Linked DNA regions of Drosophila melanogaster. The protein of the gene in region 1 interacts with the protein of each later gene in a pairwise test. Each region holds a gene or a part of one and is shown on either strand. Other genes may lie near its edges.

Evidence for each region.
Region 2: the proteins of Lhr (region 1) and Hmr interact in a two-hybrid assay, tested with the Drosophila melanogaster proteins (one study listed by BioGRID).
Region 3: the proteins of Lhr (region 1) and Su(var)205 interact in a two-hybrid assay, tested with the Drosophila melanogaster proteins (3 studies listed by BioGRID).
Region 4: the proteins of Lhr (region 1) and HP6 interact in a two-hybrid assay, tested with the Drosophila melanogaster proteins (2 studies listed by BioGRID).

The regions. Positions count from the first base shown.
Region 1 is NT_033778.4:17,428,884-17,433,065, forward strand, and holds Lhr (lethal hybrid rescue), read left to right. Parts: upstream 1-2,148; 5' UTR 2,149-2,276; coding exon 2,277-3,281; 3' UTR 3,282-3,336; downstream 3,337-4,182. Other genes in the region: Mtap (methylthioadenosine phosphorylase), read left to right, coding at 1-60, 120-158; Bap55 (brahma associated protein 55kD), read right to left, coding at 542-777, 837-1,679, 1,759-1,957; EDTP (Egg-derived tyrosine phosphatase), read right to left, coding at 3,690-3,825, 3,891-4,182.
Region 2 is NC_004354.4:10,590,297-10,597,872, reverse strand, and holds Hmr (hybrid male rescue), read left to right. Parts: upstream 1-2,017; 5' UTR 2,018-2,280; coding exon 2,281-2,329; intron 2,330-2,395; coding exon 2,396-5,161; intron 5,162-5,219; coding exon 5,220-5,561; intron 5,562-5,620; coding exon 5,621-6,316; intron 6,317-6,373; coding exon 6,374-6,762; 3' UTR 6,763-6,953; downstream 6,954-7,576. Other genes in the region: CG2124 (uncharacterized protein), read right to left, coding at 1-1,623.
Region 3 is NT_033779.5:8,208,586-8,212,862, reverse strand, and holds Su(var)205 (suppressor of variegation 205), read left to right. Parts: upstream 1-1,740; 5' UTR 1,741-2,019; coding exon 2,020-2,133; intron 2,134-2,196; coding exon 2,197-2,313; intron 2,314-2,389; coding exon 2,390-2,510; intron 2,511-2,759; coding exon 2,760-3,028; 3' UTR 3,029-3,237; downstream 3,238-4,277. Other genes in the region: CG8372 (uncharacterized protein), read left to right, coding at 154-744; Ssb-c31a (single stranded-binding protein c31A), read right to left, coding at 1,029-1,304, 1,361-1,417; CG8419 (uncharacterized protein), read right to left, coding at 3,592-4,209, 4,265-4,277. UniProt on the Drosophila melanogaster protein: Structural component of heterochromatin, involved in gene repression and the modification of position-effect-variegation. Recognizes and binds histone H3 tails methylated at 'Lys-9', leading to epigenetic repression.
Region 4 is NT_033779.5:4,577,076-4,580,374, forward strand, and holds HP6 (heterochromatin protein 6), read right to left. Parts: upstream 1,144-3,299; 5' UTR 1,029-1,143; coding exon 708-1,028; 3' UTR 644-707; downstream 1-643.

The DNA.
Region 1 (4,182 bases):
GTCAACGCTGTTGGTCGAATTGCCAAGGAGGACTGGTCGGAGGACATACTAAATGCCAAGGTGAGTGAGCCGAGATAAACATCATTTAAAACTAAGTTCATCATGTGTTCCGCCCATAGCAATGCGTTTGCAACAACACAATGTCTGGAGCCATGTGACGATTTATAAAACTTTGCCACGAAATAACAGAAGAGACGCTGATTCGCCGCAAGATTTATGTGCCACCGCTCTATCAACAGTTCCACAAAAAGCGAGGACCCAGAGTTCACTCCATATCCATTACGTACGAATTAGATCCGAAAGACAAAAGGCAGCCGGTGAAAACTCCATTGAAATGTGAAACTGTAACGTCCGCGTCAGCGTCGCAGTAAATATATACATATGTGTGTAACTAAAAACATTTCCGTAATCAAATGCAATCTATTCCTAAACAAACGCTCAGATGTCTTCTGAATAATGGGACACTTTTCACATTTCACATTTATATTATTACATAGAGTTGCGTCTTTAAAATTAAAATTGGAATTCGATTGCGCTGTCCTTACGGACACTTCCGCTCGACTTGGCTCTTGCCGGCCTCTTCGTACTCCTGCGACGATATCCACATCTGTTGGAAAGTACCTATGCTGGCTAGAATAGAGCCGCCAATCCAGGCTCCAAATCTTCGCTCCACGCTGCCATTGGCAGAAATCATTTTTAGGCGCGTATTTGAGGGGGCACGCAGCTGGAGATCGCGATTTAGGCGCTCCGGAAAGCCTTGCAGAAGGGTATTGCCACCTAAGAGCAAAATATTAAGGTATAAGTAATTAGTTTTAAAACCTAGGGAAAATTCATACCAGTAACGACAACTGAGCCGAAAAGTGACAGCCGCACATCCGCATCACACATGCCCACACTGGTGGACGCCAATTGGCCAGCTCCCAGCATTGCATTGTCAAAGAGACTCTCGGCTATCTTGAACCGCTCAGAGCCAAAGTCCTGATGATAACCATTAGGAAACTCATAGTGTACCGTCGGGATTTGAGCAGCAACCCGTTCGTCGAACGGATTTTCTAGGACCTGCAGCACATTCATCTGAAAGTCTTGCATCATGAGCTGCAACATGTAGTTTTGCCACGACTGAGTTAGGTTCTCTGGCAGTTTGCGCAGCGTGAAGCGTCCGTTGTCGCGCTCCTTAACAACGTCTTTGGAGGCAATCTTGTATACCGGCGACAGATCAATGCCGTGCTTCTCCAGATGCTGGCGGCACTGTCGTGAAAGGAAGTCTCCACCCAGGGGTGACTTAACCACCGCCTGGGATAGGACATAGCCCTCATGGACGGGAACGGCCGAGGTGTGGGTGGCTCCACTATCGACAACCAAAGCGGTGGCCCGCCCGCTGGAGAAGGCAGCCAGAACGGCGTTCTTTACCAGAAAGAAGGCTGGAACATTGTACTTCTCGAACATAAGCTCGGTTAGCTTCTCGCGGTTGTTGCGGACATTCCACGATGCCTCGGAAAAGAGCACGGGATGGTATTCCGGCTCCGACTGAATGACATTGGCGTAGGCATAATCAATAACCTTCTCAAACAGGTCCCAGTTGTCAATCATGCCGTCTTTCATATAGGTCTGCACCTCCATATTGGAACGGGGAACGGTCACGTAGTTGGTGTCCACATAGAACTTGCGCTGGTCAGCATCTAGAGTAGGGGTAGGGATTGCCGGTTTTTCCGGGTTTTTAAAAGCCATAAACTAAATAAAGGCGATGTAGAAACTAACTATTTGGCGTGGCATTGTTGTCTGTTTTAGTTTCCGGATCGAGATTGGTCTCTGGAGCTGCTCCAATCCCCACAACCGAGGGTATCTCCGCCTTGGGCGAATCCTCCTGTGCGTAGCCCACTCGCAAGGAATGATGTCCAGGATCGAAGACCAGGGCGCCGATCTCGTCGCCGCCATATAGCATGGTGCCGCCACTCATATTGGGGCGTTCCGATTATTTTTTTCGCACGTTGTGTTCAAGTAATTCGCGAAAATACTTCCGTCTGTGTATATTTTGCGGCTTTTTTCACGACGCTTCTTCCTCGCTGGAGATGGTCTGATAAGTTATCGATTGTTTAAGCCAAATATTTTCCTACCTATCGCTTTGGTCGCTTACCTATCGATTGCTGTTCTCAAACAATTTCCATCGCTATTAGTTAGCAAACACAAATTAAAACTCGGATTCTAAAAACATAGATTTTATTAAAGAAATTACCGTTAAGTGGTATATTAAAACATACGGATGAATTAGTACACAAATGTGTTGTAGAACGTTGGAGAAACACAGTGCGAAAAATATTAAAATGAGTACCGACAGCGCCGAGGAAACGGTGATCCATTCCACTGTTCCCCATTTGGAGATTAACATATCAAACACCAACATCAGCGGCCAGATTGTTTTAAACGACTTGCTGCTCATGGAGATGCTCGCCCGGTATCCCTTCCTTATCATCCCGCAGGTGGAGCCCAAAATGGACGTTGACTACGACTCCTGGGGTTGGGATCAGCTGGCCAAGTCCTTTAACCAAAGCTACGAGCACGTTGAGCTGAGTACTCCGTTCTCCGTAAGTGAACTGAAGCTGCGTTGGGTGAAGCTGCGCCCGCTGGTCAGAGCCTTGGCCGGTTCCAAAGGGCAAATCCCTGAACCTCTGTGGCGGGTGATGCACGATGTGCACATTCGCATGCAAGCCCCGAATCCGGCGGATGTGCCGAAAACCAAGTGTCAGGAGTTTCTTCTCAGTCAGTTGCCTTTCGTGAAATCTATGGCGCAAGCGGAACGCCGGCATTTAGAAGTGGAGGTCCTCGCCCTCATCCTGGAGCAAGAGCGCCAAGAGAAAGCTACTCGAAAGCTGGGTCCTAAGGACCTGGAGACGGTTCAGAGCGAATACGACGAATTTCTTAAAGCGATACGGGTGAAAGAGCTCCCAGCAGACAATTTACTCAGTCCGGCCATGGACAGATTCGGCATTAGCCCACACAAAATAAGACCCAATGTCGCAAGTGCCAATAAAAGAATCAGATATAATAATGCTTGCAAAGGATCAAATGATGTCAAAATCAAAATAGAAACAGCTATTGAACCTAAAATTAAAGATACAACAAAATGTGACGAACGACCGATAGAAACACCACGCTTCGTTCCTCTTAAAAGCGCGAAATACTACATTAAAAGGTGTCGCATCCGGCTGAAGCGAGTGGAAATTGATGATTATTTACCCTTAGCTAGAATACGGCGCTCAAGGCGGCCTACGCTGAGAACATGACTTTCTTTCGTATAAAATGCACATAAGTTTATTAAAAAATACATTACTATAAATTACAACTTAAAACTATTGTATAATCCAAATAGCATTTTATATTTCACTTGCTTTGCATTCTCGAAGAACTAATAACTAAACAAACAAGGAGCGGGAGAACCTAGAGAACAGGAGAGCGGTTTAGCCGGGGCAGAAGGACGACAGGATTTTGTTTGCTCGTTGCCTACGATCGCCTGGTTCTTTCGATGCTTATCGGTAATCAGTAATCCGTTACACTACACAATCGTCAACAGATACTAAAGAACGCAATTTAACAGGTCTATAAATACAGTCGTTGGTTGAAAGCGTAGCACTTAACAAGAAACAAACAATGTTGATGAAATCTAACAAACGGTCATAGCTGCTAATCCTTTCTCAAAACAGTTGGTCCGCCAGGTTCCCAATGAACGTGGCCAGGTTCATGGATGAGCCCTCCTTGAATTTCAGTCCAATCGTCTTGCCGTAGGCTTGTATAAAAATGGCGCGCACTGCATTCAGGCGTTGCTTTCGTCTCCAATTGTAAAACAAAATTATGTCATTATGTATTTGCTGTCGAATAATCAGACTACAACTTACAAGTTGATGCATTGCTTGCTGGCCATAGTGCTGCCGCCTACGTCTTTGGAGGAACCGTTTGCGAAACCGTGCGTCGAGCTGCCGTTACTGATACTGCTACCACTTCCGCTCCCACTGCCACTCGATGCTGCATTGATGCTGCAGTGGTAACCATTGCCGCCATTGCATAAAGGAATGTTTGAGGAGCCGCCACCATCGGCTGCCTGTTGCGCCACAAAGCGCATCATGTAGCTGCCGTTCATCATGGAGTCAATTGAACCCGTGTCGGTAACCACCTGCCAGCTACCATTGG
Region 2 (7,576 bases), on another chromosome or scaffold:
ACCGCTGTAATCCTGACAGGCCTCACCATTTATGGACAACGCCTTCCGTTGCCGGCGGTCGTAGCACAACACTACATCGCATCGATCGTATTGCGGCAGGATGTGCTTGAAGGTCACGGGACGGTGGATCATGGTGATCGCATCCCGTATTTCCACTAGAATACGATCGGTATTATTCAGCTTGAAGCGTCCGTCCCGATCGGGGATGTACTGCGTGTAATTGCGGCCCATCTGCTGTCGTTGCTTCTCGGTAACCAGTGCTCCCTGGTATTCCGGCCCCAGGAGGCGTGCGAACCCATCCAAATGGAAGTACTCACGCCCGGGCAATCCGCTTGGGTACGCATGCTTCAGGAAACGCGGCTCCAGTGCCACGCCCAAAAGCTCAAGATCGTAAACACCACGCATTGTGAGAAACTGAAGGCAGTTGGAGAAACAACGAGGATGGCGCAGTATCTCCTCTATACGCTGGCGCAGCAAATCGGGCAATCTCTCCGCCAACCGGCGTTCCACTCCCGACTTAGTTGTAATATTGAAAAGGGCCATTACCAGACAAATTCGCTCCATATCCTTGAGGCGGGCAGTCTCTAACTCACGCTCGAATCTCAGCAGTATGCGCTCCACCAGTGCATCATTGCACGTTTGCAGTTCACAGCCCAGAAGAGCCATGTGCAGGCACGTGAGGAGGGAAACGCGATCCACTTGCGACTCTAGAGCGCTTAACATCTTCTTTAGCGGCTCCACTTGTGGCAGCTTGCTGCTGTACCGCAGCACCTTGAGCAGCGCTACCAGGACAATGTCTTCCACGGTGTCCAGCTCGCTGCCTAATCGCTGATAGAGTTGCGTTAGCAGCTCCGGATTTCTGATAGGCGTCTGTGTCTTAAAGAAGCCCATGGCCATTACGCCCAATTCGGACAGCGTCATTTGATCCACGCAGCGGGCCAGATTCAACTCGAAATCGAACATCTCGAAGACGGGTCGGCGCAGTAGATTGCACAGGAACATGGAGTGAACGAGCTGTTCTGGCGGCAGCTTTCGCAGCTTGCGGCCGAGCTTTTTCAGCGCCAGCCACACGTACTCGCCTATCCTGACCAGACCAAGACGATACCAGGCATCGCTCACGAGTAGCAATTGTTCACTGGACCATCGCTCGATGCGGCGACAGCACTCGATGTCCAGGGTATTCCATATCTCCATGTAGTTCTTGGCTTTGGGCGATTCCGGTACGGGCAGCTCGGCCAAGGCACTAAGCGATCCAAGAAGTTGTTCATCCGTAAGGCGATGCAGCTGCTCACAGAAGCAGCGGGTAAAGGCTTCGTAGCGGCTATCGCTGATCTTCAGTTCCATGCGATTACAGTGCCTCACCAGGCCTAAAAAGTCCGCATAGAGATCGGCAGCACTGGCATCTGGCTGTGGCCGCATAAAGCCTTCAGATGCGGGCAAATCCTGCCAGGCGGAGTCCCGAGGACGCAGTATTGCATACGGTTTGAGAGAATCCATCAGGATTCCATGGGCGAACTGATTCTCTCGGTCCGCAAATATTCGCGCTGGTGAAACGATCGTCGTGCATACTTGGCGGCGCAGACGTCCCACACTTCGCCAGAGGTAGTTTGTTCTTGCCCACATGTTTTAGAGCGATATTTGGTTGTAAATTAATTCAATTCAATTGAATTTGAATGGAAAACGCGTTATGAAAACATTCGTTGAAAAACCTGCCGGCTAAACAGCTGACTGGTAAGCAGCGTTGCCAGAACGAAGAAATTGGAGTGCTCGCAAGTGGGAGAACTTAACGAAATATTCTGCTCTCAGCGCTTGGCTGCTATCGATAACTCCACTGATATCCAAATGGGTAGCTACTAGAATGTAGCTTTACAAATTGTAACGTGTTTTTTCAACTTATTTTTGTTTAACTTAACACAAACAAAAATATTTAGCTATACAATTCTATTTCACACTCAAATATTAATCGAATGTTTCGATAACGGTATCCGTGGTCGATAACGCTCTTTAACCATTTTGCGTTTGCAACCGCCGACTATCTGGCGTCGCAAGAAACCTTATTTACGTAGATATATTTACGTAGATACGCTTGCACTTAATAATCCTGTAGTTGCAAGTTGTTCCCAAACTATTTCCGAGTGATTTTATGCTACAAAAGAGTGAAGAGTGAAGCAGTGGTTCCATCGGATTGCCCACCGGTTTCTCCGTTCCGAGAATTCTCGACGGCTTGTGTGGGGGAAAGGCGCGCGTAGGTCAAGATTGGAGCTATCAGGTGTCTAGGACATGGAGGAGGAGCCTGTTGCCATTGAAAATGATTGCCAGATAATTGTTTGTAAGTCCGACAGTTGGTCACCTGGTCAGCCGTTCAACTAACTTCCGTTTTTTTTTTTCCTCAAAGCTGACACAATTGGTCAGAAGACGAATGGCGTGGATGACGATAAGGCCCCAAATCCGTTCAGCAGATGCACTTATCCGGGATCTCGGGATGGCGGCATTCTGCAAACCTATAGGGCAGAGAGGCTGCTCATCGCTTTGGTACGCCGCCAGCCGCTATTGTATGACGCCCGGCATCCGAAATTCCGCGACGTCGCTCAAAGGGAGAAACAATGGAAAAAAATCGCCAGCCGCCTGGCAACGAATGCGACCAACTGCAAGAGATCCTGGTCGGCGCTGCGATATAAATATCAGCGCCATGTTCGTCGTCTAAGAAACTTTCATCGCAGTGCCATCCAAAAAGATCGGGCGGCCCTGCGTTGGCGTCCTTGCATGGAATACGAGGAAGAGATGCGCTTCATGTATACCCATGTGGCCAGATTCCCACTGATTGTCGACAAGATTCCGACAGAGATTCTTGAAAAAGAGCATGTGGATGAGAGCGAAACCCGGCCCGATGTGGAGGTCATAGAGAATCCGCCAATGGACATCATAGATTTGGATGTCGAGGAGGACCCCACCTATAACTACCGTTGCAACAGGTTACAGCGTCGCCTCATAGAGGCAGTCAGTGCCTATCCCCTTCTGTACGATAGCACGTGCACGGGCTATCAGAACACACGACATCGCTTTCTAATCTGGAGTGCCATTTCAAACGAAGTCCATGACAAAGCCACCAAGCTGATGAAGTGCTGGCTAAAGCTGCAGACTCGCTACGAATGGGAGTTAATCCATCGCCCACGTCATATCGGCACTTCGGAGCTGTGTCGGTTGATGGACTTCATGGAACCGCACGTACAGCGCATGCGCGGCACCGTATGCAAGTCTTCCAAGTACCTGCAAAACGGTTGGCACGAGCCCATTGAGAATTTCCACACTGTGATGGCGCTGATCACCACGATGCGCAACATGCCAGAACTAGTTCAGCTGACGGAGGACTCCCTGCACAACAAGGTGAAACCGCCGCGCTACGACGAATTCTGGCAGAAGGTCGGCATGGAAGTGATGTGTAGTCACGAGCACTGCGAGGTCACCTGGCTGGTGCTGCGCGCCTTTTACCACGAATTGCAGGCCGTGCGCTCATCCGGCTATCAGCTGCAGGACAAGTGGTTCTTTGAGGGCTCCATGGGTCTGGCCTTAACGCCAGTTACCTCTCGTTCCACGGCCCGTCCCGCACTAAAGCGGACAGCCAACGGCGCCATACCAGTGGCGGGGGAGCCTCCGGCCAAAACACCGGTGCCGGTACGTATGCCATTGGCTATTGTCTATCCGTCCACCTCAAAAGGCAGCAGCACGAGCATGACCAACAGTGCAAGCACTGCCACAAGCATTGGCCCCACCTTCACCAATGTTAGGAGGTCCTCTGGCCCAGTCATTAACAACACATCCACCGCCGCCGCCGCAACGAACAGCGTCAGTTCGAGTGTATCGCCCGATCAAGCTCTTCCCAAGTTTGTGATTCCCAAAATCACGTCCGCCATCAGTGTGGGCTCGGGATATATGATACCCCTAAAGTTTGTGCCCAACGTACGAATTTTGCCCAAGCCGGCGGCGACTATGGGAACGGGCGTGTCCCCCATCGCCACCACCAATCAGATGGCGGGCCCAAACGCAAAGCCGCCTGAAGTGCGTCCACAGATAACGCAGGGTCCTGGCTTACAGGTTAAGCTCCATACGAAGCCTCAAATGGCCAGTAGACCGCAAATGGCACCTGTAGTCCCCCGCACTGTAATTCGAACAACGAATCCAACCAATCCAGCTCAAACTCAAGACAGGGTATCCGGAGGGCCAATGTCGACACTGGGTGAACTGCTTAGGCCACAAAATCCATCGCAAATACGTTCACCAGCTCCGCAACAAACACTGCCAAATTTTGTACCAATAACAACATCGAATATTACAGCTAAAAGCAATCTGCCAACACCCACTGCGGCTCCAATGGTACGAATACACCAGCCGGGACTGAAAAGCGCTTGGGATGGCAAAAGCAATAGCGCTCCGTTCAGTAAGCCAATAAGATCACTATTAACCACATCTTCGCCTGCAGCTGCTCCTATTGTAGCAACTGCGGAACCAGCGAGAGCAAAAATAATACCACCAAAGCCCAAATTGCCAGCAACAACATTAGTAAACCCCAAAAAATATCAACCAATCGTACCGGTAGCAGTACTACCTACAGCAGCAACCAGGATGGCCAAACCTGCAACAGAACCAGCAACTGAGCTGCCTGTAACTACGCCACCAATCGCCACTGGACAAACAACTCGAGTCATACGAAAAACACCATTATTTCCTACATCTGCAACACAAGCTGCATCTGACTCATATGCCACAATACAGGGCACATTAGCAAGCCAGGCTAAAGCTGTGGGAGCAGCAATATCAGCACCAGTGGTCAGACCAGCCAAATTGCCGACAGTAGCCAAGGCAACAACAGCATCGCAGTCAGATATAAAAGCAACTGCAGCCGCATCCGCAACCCTAGGCAGTCAGCCGGAGAACTTGCCGCTTGGCAACATAACCGTGTGTCTGCACGAGAGTGATACCACTGGGAATGAACTGCAAGTTTGGTGCGGAAATCAGGGTACTCGCTTCAATCTCAATATGATTAGGACGACGACGTTGATCCGCGAGGTGATGGCTGTGCCGCAGCTGCACAAGGAAGATCCACAGTTGGCGGCCAAGTGTGTTGAGTTCTGGCATTTTATCGCCAAGAAGTTTCACATGCCAGGTAGGAGTAACTATATATATATTAGAAACATTGGCTCATACGTTCTTTTGTTCTGCAGAGGAAGCTTTGCGCGCATGCTGGAAATTCTTGGCGGCCAACATGAGTGTGTTTCCAAAAATTGCGCCGATGTCGGAACTGATGCGTCCGTTTAAGTACAGCGAAAAAGTGTGGGAAAAATCGAATCGCTTGTTTGGCAAATTTGACGAGATAGCGCTAAAATACCAGTGGTTGAATCACAAGAACGTGTTGCCGGAAGTAATACGCTTCTTCGCGAAGTACGAGTACCTCTACTGCGATTTACGCAGGCCGCGACCTGGCGAAGATGCTCAAGCTCCGCCCCAGTTGACGAATCAGGAGAAGCAGGAGGTGTGGCGGGAGGCCCGCCTTAAATTCCCAAATCGTATGTTTAATAAATGTTATAAGCCAATCATTTATTAGTAATTTTCTGTTCTTTTGCAGTCAATCATCGGGATATTTGGTCAATGTTTAAGTTCGCCTTCCGCACATACCTGGATGATTTAGAGCGCGGCATCGATAATCCCTGGCCGCAGAATTGGTGGCAGGCACTGGAGCAACTCAGGTTTCTGGTCAATGTGCGCTACCATCCGCTCGAGCCCTACTACTATATAGTGCACAACAGGATGTCAGAGGAGGTGAAGCGCTGCAAAATGCACGAGGCTCTAACGTCCTCCGATCATATCGATAAGACCAAATTTACACCGAGCAAACTTTTAACGGGCTTTTCCAAAGAACCCAAGCCATGGGAGACGGAGGAGGCCAAGCGCTTGCTTACCGGCAAGTTGAATAGCGTGAGAAGCACTGAAACTCTCACTCAAATTGCTCCAGCTCCGGCTCTAGCTTTGGCACCCGATGCCCAACCTATTCCTGTACCTGATGGCGTTTCCGTGTCCAAAAAGACAAGCGAAAGCAAGCCAGCGTCAAACGCCAACGTCAAGTCTCATAAAGACAAGAATATCTCCACCGCCCAAAAGCGGCCGACCCCAGCGAGAAGTGTCACCTGTAACAATCTATCCCCCATTGAGGCGTTTGAGTTGTGTAAGAAATTGCGTAGCCAACCAAACAGCTTCGAGCGGGCGAGCACTCTGGACAAGCGAGCCGCCTGGGTTCGCGTATCAAAGGAGTTGCATGCCACAGGTAATCATTTGCAAATATGTCAATTTAGACATTTGATTAAAAGTACATATTTTGCAGTGACCGAATGCCGCCTTGGTCTGCAGTACGCTCTGCGCGAGATGCGCAATCTGAAGATCGCCGATCCAAGCAATCAATGTACAATGGGCCACAAGTACTTGCACCACATGTCGGAAATCTATAAGCAGGTGAAGCCGAACGCCCAGCTGACAGTCCGCACGCCACAGCAGCTCAACCAGTTAAACGAATCGCTTGCGAAGAACACTCAGGAAGTTAGCCCGCAGGAGTTCCTGCCTGAGATCAATTTGTCCACTTGCAGTCCGGATCTCGTGGTGAAGAATTGGGCCTACGCCGTCGGTAACTTGTCCACGGCCAGTCAGGATACACTGCTCGGCAAGATGACGCAGCTGTTCTCTAAATACGCCAAGGTCAATCCGCCACCGCCTTAGCTCTCGAAACTTTTGGCACACGTAGTTTAGTCATACATATTCTCTGTAAGAACTTTCGCCGTACCATTGACACCCTTCATTGCCACAGAATACATCTTATTTATTATTAAGTGCATGAAATTGCAATAACTTTTTTTTTTTTTTTAAGAGCCCTCTAGAATAACTTGAATAAATGGCCACAGTCAACTTTCATATGATGTTTTGCACTGGGACTGTTAAATTTAAGATTTTAAGAGTTCCTGAGTACCATAGGTATAATACCAAACTGAAACTTGCGCAATAATAAACAGTATCTAATGTTGTTAGACGCTTAAAGTCGCAGAATGATAGCGATGAGGGCAAGGCCCCATGATTATATGTCGGTCAGCCGGCCCCGCCCACTTGTATGGCCTCTCCGAGGACATGAAAGTAAGCCCGAATAAATTGGGCGTGCAATTGGGAAAAGATTTGATTGCCAAGTTCCTGGAGGAGTGGCTAGATAATAAGGCGCACGTAAAACACAGGGGATGATTGTCTAGGACAAAGGAATGGCCAAACTATTTGACGATATACTATTTAAAGGATTTTAGTAATCCTCCCACATTTCTTTCGAAATGACGAACAGTAAACAACGGTTACTTTTTGGCTCTACCACCTTCTTCGCCAAGTTATAAGGAAAATATCAGATTTTCCTTTTTGCAGTTTTTTGTTAAAAAAAAATCACAATTTCTTCGAAAGCAATTAAAATAATTGTCCAAATGTGGAATGTCACACCTCATTGAATTCGTAAAAAATTCCCTATCGACCTGGATTCAAAGTTGGAAATTCTAATTTT
Region 3 (4,277 bases), on another chromosome or scaffold:
TGAACTGCGACTGCTTTATTTTCTCCTTATCGTACAATTAAAGCCCAATTGGAATTGTTAGCGACTCGTTTCATGGGCATTACGGCCGGGAAGACCGTGAGTGACTGTTCTTGTGGCTTCCCCGCACAAATATCAACCTAATACAGTGTAATAATGTCGACAAACCCAAGTCCGCAGCGGCAACAGTCCGAGGACGTTCAGATCTCGATGGCCAGTTCCGGAGGAGGAGCCGGCAATGGCGTTCCGGATAGACTGCCTCCGATCAACGTAAAGGACCAACGCTTCCCCTACTGCATCGTTTGGACTCCCATTCCGGTTCTCACCTGGCTGATGCCCATGATCGGACATATGGGCATTTGCACTTCGTCCGGTGTGATTCGTGACTTCGCCGGCCCCTACTTCGTATCAGAGGACAACATGGCCTTTGGAAGACCCACCCGGTACATAAGGTTGCACCCCAAGCACATGGTGGGCGGCAGTTACGCCTGGGACGAGGCGGTCTCCAAAGCATCTGTGCTCTACGGCACCCGCATCCACAATATCTTCTGTGACAACTGCCACTCGCATGTGGCAACGGCACTCATCTACATGCGCTACTACGACAGCACCGCATGGAACATGATTATCCTCAGCATGTGGCTCTTTGTCTGCGGCCGCTACGTCGGAATAGGGGGTTTTATTAAGACCTGGCTGCCGTTTGCCATTCTCCTGTCCATCTTCACCATTCTGGGCATCTATTTTTAATATTCATATCTATATCAAATGCTATCAATGTACAAATCTATGTACATATGACGTCCAATAAAGGATTCATTCATTTATGTATATGTGTGCTTTTTGTAGTCCCACCACAAAGCAGATAAGGAAAATACCTATCAGGCAATTAAGTTGGTCATTCATTAATGCTTCAGCAACTGTGAAAATACAGATTTTCAATTACTAGTGTTTAAGATAACGTTTATTCAGTGGATATGTCTATAGTTAGTACATATGGCTACGACTTAGTTTGGCATGTGGATGAACTTCAATTAATTCTCGATCGCGCGGGTGACTTCTTCGGCCACTTCAAGGAGTTTCTTCCATTGAATTAAAGATAGGGAGATGCCCTTCTTGCCGGGAAGAATTTGGCCGCCCTTATCGTAGAACTCTCGAATGTCCACCGATTTGCGACCGCGGAACTCGTTGATTCGCACCTGGCGAAGTCCTTCCAGGGTCCAAGATGTAGCACCATTTTCGCCCGAATCTTTTGGATCTGAATTTGGAGCATCAGATTCCTTCGCCTTCTTGCTTGCCGGCTTGATACGCTGAAAGAGGTTTTAACTTGTTATACCTAGTTTTGGTGTATTTCTAGTTAACTTACATCATCTGGACCGCTATCGCTATCTGAGGACGAATCCTTCTTCTTTGTTTTGGGCATTTTTATAGAATTTCCGTAAAACAGAAGAAACAAAACGCAAATTGTCAAAAAATTCGTGAATATTCGCGCAACTTATTCAGTGCTGTGAAACGCGTCGATAATAGTTGTGGTACAACGGATTCCTTAATCGATTCATCGATTTATTACAAAATTTTTAAAAACAGATATTGGCGATCAGTTAGTTACGTTATTATTATAGTTATGTTGTAAAATTTAGATAGTTCTTAGTGTTAACATTTTTCTAGACTTAAAATGAAATTAATACGATGTGCAAATCTATCGGAAAATAGATAAGCGTAGTCTTAGCAGTCCACGCGTACTTTCGCACACTGTTCGGCCGGCGTCATTTTAGAACGCGCATTTTTTTGCAGATTTTTCATTTTGTGGAAAGTCTTCTAGCGCCAACACACAGGCTTATAAAAACCAATTTAGCTGCGTGCATAAAGTGTAGATCTTATTTAATCTAGGTGAGCCATGAAAGCAAAGAGAGTCGACTAAAAATCGTACTTTCCTTTCGTACTTTGCGTGTGTGTGCGGTTGTGTGCGGTTGTGCTAATTCTTTCCTTATTTTTTGTCGTGTGAAGTATTTTAATAAAAACAAAATGGGCAAGAAAATCGACAACCCTGAGAGCTCGGCAAAGGTTTCCGATGCCGAAGAGGAGGAGGAGGAGTACGCCGTGGAAAAGATCATCGACAGGCGGGTGCGCAAGGGAAAGGTGAGTTTTCCGAACCAGACGTCCCATTATATTTGGTCCTAAAACGCCATTTTCCACCTGCAGGTGGAGTACTATCTGAAATGGAAGGGCTATCCCGAAACTGAGAACACGTGGGAGCCGGAGAACAATCTCGACTGCCAGGATCTTATCCAGCAGTACGAGGCGAGCCGCAAGGATGAGGTAAGTGAAGTACAATGCGATGCCAAGTACAGTTGTGCTTGCTAGGATTTCCTTTACATCTCGTTTCGGTCCGTAGGAGAAGTCAGCCGCCTCCAAGAAGGATCGACCCAGCAGCAGCGCCAAGGCCAAGGAAACTCAAGGACGCGCCAGCAGTTCGACGTCCACAGCAAGCAAGCGAAAGTCCGAAGAACCAACAGGTAAGCTATGGAATTGAGTGTACCTACAAATATTTTCTGTACACAAATTGGTATAACAATAGTCATCACCTACAATATCCACTGGCATTTATTTGCCCTTTTCGTCAAAACTGTATTCACATATGTATCTCAAATTTTGTCCTTCGCAAGAATGGCATGCGCAAGAAAAAGATGGTCTTTGCAATAAAAAAATGCATCTATTAAAAAATTGCACTGTATTAATTACTTGTTTTTATTTTATTTATTTAGCGCCCTCTGGCAATAAATCAAAACGTACCACAGATGCGGAGCAGGACACCATTCCCGTTTCAGGATCTACCGGATTCGATCGCGGCCTGGAGGCCGAAAAGATCTTGGGTGCCTCCGACAATAATGGCCGCCTGACATTCCTCATTCAGTTCAAAGGCGTGGACCAAGCAGAAATGGTGCCCTCCTCAGTGGCCAATGAAAAAATCCCACGAATGGTAATCCACTTCTACGAAGAGCGCCTATCCTGGTACTCTGATAATGAAGATTAAACAGTTGGATCATCGAAAGCGAAAAAGAACGATTATACATTTAACGAAAAATTACCCACTTAGAATTATAGCTCCTTGCAGGCGCTTTCAAAACCACCCAACCAACTCTTAAGGCATCGGACTTTTTTCCATAAATGTCCAGAGTCAGTGTCTGTATTTATGATAACCATTTTCAATAAATAAAAAAAACCTTTATTCTGCTGGAGCCTATATAAGTAACTTTTATTTGCGACTTGTTGCTCAACGGTCAGGATATGACGCGCATATGCTGACCATATGGTAATAAGGAGAATTCAATTGGTAATTCCAGAGGTCGAAAGGGATTTTGTAGCCTTAGCAATCTGAGATTATTGTGTGCACATTGTAAATGGACTGTCGGGTCTGTTGGAATGCATGTATTTTGCAGGTAGAAAAACGTTTATTTTGAAGTATCCTTGTTGTCTATCTGCGCGTGCGTATAAACTACAAGATCTTTGAAATTTCACAAGATGAACAAACAAAATGGCGAAACCTGGCTATATGTTAATTTATTCGTTTTATAGCCCTGCATCCTAATCAATTACTTAAGAATTAAGCAGTTTGTTGGCCACATTGCATTCCGAGTTCTCAAGGACATTTCCACAGCAGGACCAATGACGTCTCCCTGGATGTCCAGCATGTCCATGACCGCAGCCACTATATCCAGGCATATGACCCTCACACGAGCACATCACGTTCCGGTTGCCCTTTCCGGAACAGAAGGAGCAGCAGTGGTAGATGCCCGTATGCGGACGAACCTGTCGCGCTTGAAAAGTGAAAGGACCTCCCTTGATGGGCCGGTCGTTAATGGTGATCGTGAGAATCAACGTGCCCTGGGCATCCGGGGTGAAGGATATGTTGTAGGTGCCATCACGATTGTCCGACACCTCAACGGGTAGAAACTTGGAACTGGAGTCCTTGTACTTCAGCATGCAGTTGATCTCCAGGCCACCGTGGCAGAGGGAAACCCCGTCGGCATCTCTAGAGTGAAGCAGAAGATCCGCTTTTTTGTGGAGGCGCAGCTGTGAAAATCCCTCCCACTCAAGGGTGCATAGACTAGGCTCCACTACCTGCATGGTGATGATGCCATATAGAGGGATATCGCGCTGGTCCTTTGTCGACGGAGCACGGATTTTTGGTAGGAAGTGAAGCGAGTCGGATATCTGGGTAAAATGGTTTACTTTATAAAACAATAAAACAAGCAATTTGGTAACCTACCTTGGGATCCACA
Region 4 (3,299 bases), on another chromosome or scaffold:
GCGGCGCCCCATTTTATTTCGCTTCTTCTCTTTCTTGTGCGCTTTTGCCATAAATCTTGCATAAATCGATTTAATCTGCCCCTGGCCACGCCCACCTGCTGGTGGGCCCCTCAATTAATTATACTTTTTCAATGTCAAAATGTCGCTGCAAGAAAGGTGCGCCACCAATTTAACCCTTTTTTTTATGTACGTATTAGTTGACTGCGTGAATCTTGAGGCGCCTGCAACATGGAATCTGAGAGCTGAGTCTGATCCTGCGGCTTAACCTTCTTTTCTAATTGCAGGTTTTCCAACGCCCCGATGTGAAGGTCACTGACAGCATTAAGTGCACTGGAAAAAGTTTAATGAGGCAAGTGCACCATTTATGAACTGTTTTTTTTATGAACTTTCAAATACCCCTACAGACTTTTCGCTCGGTGTATACATACACGTATAATTTCGCGCCCGGCAGATAATGCCGCCGGCCTGTCTCCAACATCAAGCTGCGTCTAGGAGGCGGAGGGCGTGGCTGGGCCGAGCTAAACTCACTTATTCACCTGCCCGCATGCCAACAAAGTGCAGCATCAGCAACCAGTTCGCATGAAAATGCATAATCAATCACCAGCGACAACGGCGACCAGAAAATGAAGAAAAACTCGTGGCAGAAGAGTCAATACTCTTTATTGACATTGCACCGCAATGTCTTCGGTGCACAATAGTTTTATGGACTAGGCATTTCGTGATCGTTTCTTCCTGGGACTCGGAGTGGTCTCATACCCATTGTCCGACTCCAAGTCTTCTTCATCGCCCTCATCCGTGAACACAATACGCTCCTCGTAGAACGAGATGACCATTTGGGGGCACCGAACGTTGAGCACTTCGGCGGGCACCAGGCCGGCTTCGTCGCAACCCTTCCACTGCATCAAAAAGGTCAGCTTACCGGACCAGTTGCAGGCTCCTAAGATCCGCAACGGTTCGAGTCCAAGATCAAATCCATTTCGTTGCTTCACCGGAAGAGCAGTAGAGGACGTCAAAGTGGAGCTGGGCATCTTCCGTTTGGTTTTAGATATCGTGGGATTTATTTCAATGTAATCTATTTTTCTTTTTTCGACGCGCGTAGCCAATTGTCACGTTTTGTCAAGTGTTTACACACCGAGATATTATTTTTCAGTTTCGATAACTGTAGGTATCGACATGCTTTGGCAACCCTTTCGATGTGGCAGCCCTAAATGATTAATTTGAAAAGCGTTAGAGAAAATGGAAATAAAATTGTACACTCCCCTTGACTGGACATATTCTTTCAGATTTAGTTAGGGTATTGTGCATTCCAACGCCCATTGAGCGTATCATTGGTGCATCTTCATCTGACATTTCGCACGACTCGAATGTCAAGGCGCGATTGCCGGCGATACTACTTGCGATATTGGCCTCTTACGCGGCTCCACTTGTTAACTTGAATTCGTGTAAAGTGGCCGCTCATTAAAAACTCATAAATCAGGGCGGAAGGGAGGAGGGTTTTCGGTGGCACCGCCGCCAGTAATTGCCGTTGCTGGCCCAGTGTCAAAATAAAGGCAAAATAAAGGAACCCAACTCGTCGGCGGAAATGATCGGCCACCAGGTGATGGGGATGGTGGGAATGGGGCATATGGATACTACAGCTAGCTGCCAGTAATTTCCGCATATTGGAAGTCTCGTACTCTCAGATGGGCATGTGATTAATGATTAATCTGCTCGGTGCATCCGCCGCTATGACATTTAGCCAACGCCGCCTGAGAACCCGCTGCAGCAACAAAAAGAATCCGATTCGGAATCAGAAACAGAAACAGAAGTCGGTGGCGGGGTGGCCAGTTAAAGCCGAGGTCTCCGGTCGCCAGTTGGAGCCATTAAACGCCGCTGGAGCTGCTTGGGCGCACAATTTAAAGCAGCAACTAACGCAGTTAGACAACAAACCACTTTCAAGAGCTGGCTGGCAAACAGGGAAAACGGCTTTCAACTCGTTTCGCTGCCCGCTCAGATGCAGTTGCATACACTGAGGAAAGTGATGTATGAGTTCTTCAATTTAATCGATTTTTGTGTAAGAATATTTGGCTCGGTGTGTATGTATTCCAGAAAAATAATTAATTCCAAAAGTATTTAGAAACAACATAAACTTTTTCTACATTTTCCAAAAGCTTTTATATTTAAGAACATATATATTATTAGTTTTTCATAGGAAATAATTTTCCTTCTCAAAACATATTTTTTCAAGTGTACTGCCGTTAATGCTGCTGATGCCGTGGGTGCAGCCGTTGAATGTTGCATGCTGCTAGTACGTTCAACTTTTGCAGTTAACAGTTAGATTTTGAAATGGCCAGCAGCACTGGCATCGTCGTCGGCAATGGTATCGGTTCTCTGGGATTCCAGTTTTCTGGCCACAGCCTGAGAACCCGGCGATCAAGATGCGCGGCTCCACCACGACGGAAGGAAATTGCCGTCCAAGGCGAAGTCACAGCTCCGATCGCAGCATTGCGCACATCAAATAAATACTGGTACTTGGCAATTTTTGTGTTAAAACAAAATTAAAGCAATGCCAGCCGTGCTGCTCTGCGGTGTAACATTAACCCAAATACATAATTCCCATTCTCGCCTCATCGGCATCGGACAAGGATCGGCGCATTAATCATTGGACGGCAGGGGGACAGCTCTTGGGAAGCGGCAGCATATTTGGGTTTATGGGTGAGCCCCAGTATCCTAAGCAGGAAATCATTAGAGTGCGATCCAAGGAATCCGCAGGGGTTTGGCTCATGCATACATACTTATACGTATTTCTTGGGAATTTTTTTATAGATCTTGGCTCTGCCTGATGGTCGGTTTCTAAGCCATCAAGCGGAGATCATCGCGTGACTGGGCAACAAAAACCCATTATAAATTCCTCACATTTATGATGTGTCCTTCTGTCAGCGATGATAAAAGATCCTACCAATCTGTTCTAGTCTTGTGAAATAGTCGTGTTTTGGTGGAGATAAATATATATTGATCATGAGTGTAAATAAGCTTGCCAAGAGCTGTTGGAAACTATTTGTGCAACATATCCACTTCTAAGAAGGTAGGTTTTTCGCATGGGCATGTGAAAAATAAGAGCTTTAAACAAAATCTCCATCTTATCCCTTTATTTCGCAGATCTTCACCTCAATGGTACAATATATTGATATATATGCGACCAGGCGAGTGAGACATTACAAGCGATGTCCGAGAACAATGTATATATCTTGTCAGCAGGGATGCGGCTCGATCCGATTGACTTTAGCTGACTGTTGACAAGTTTCTGATAAGATTAATAT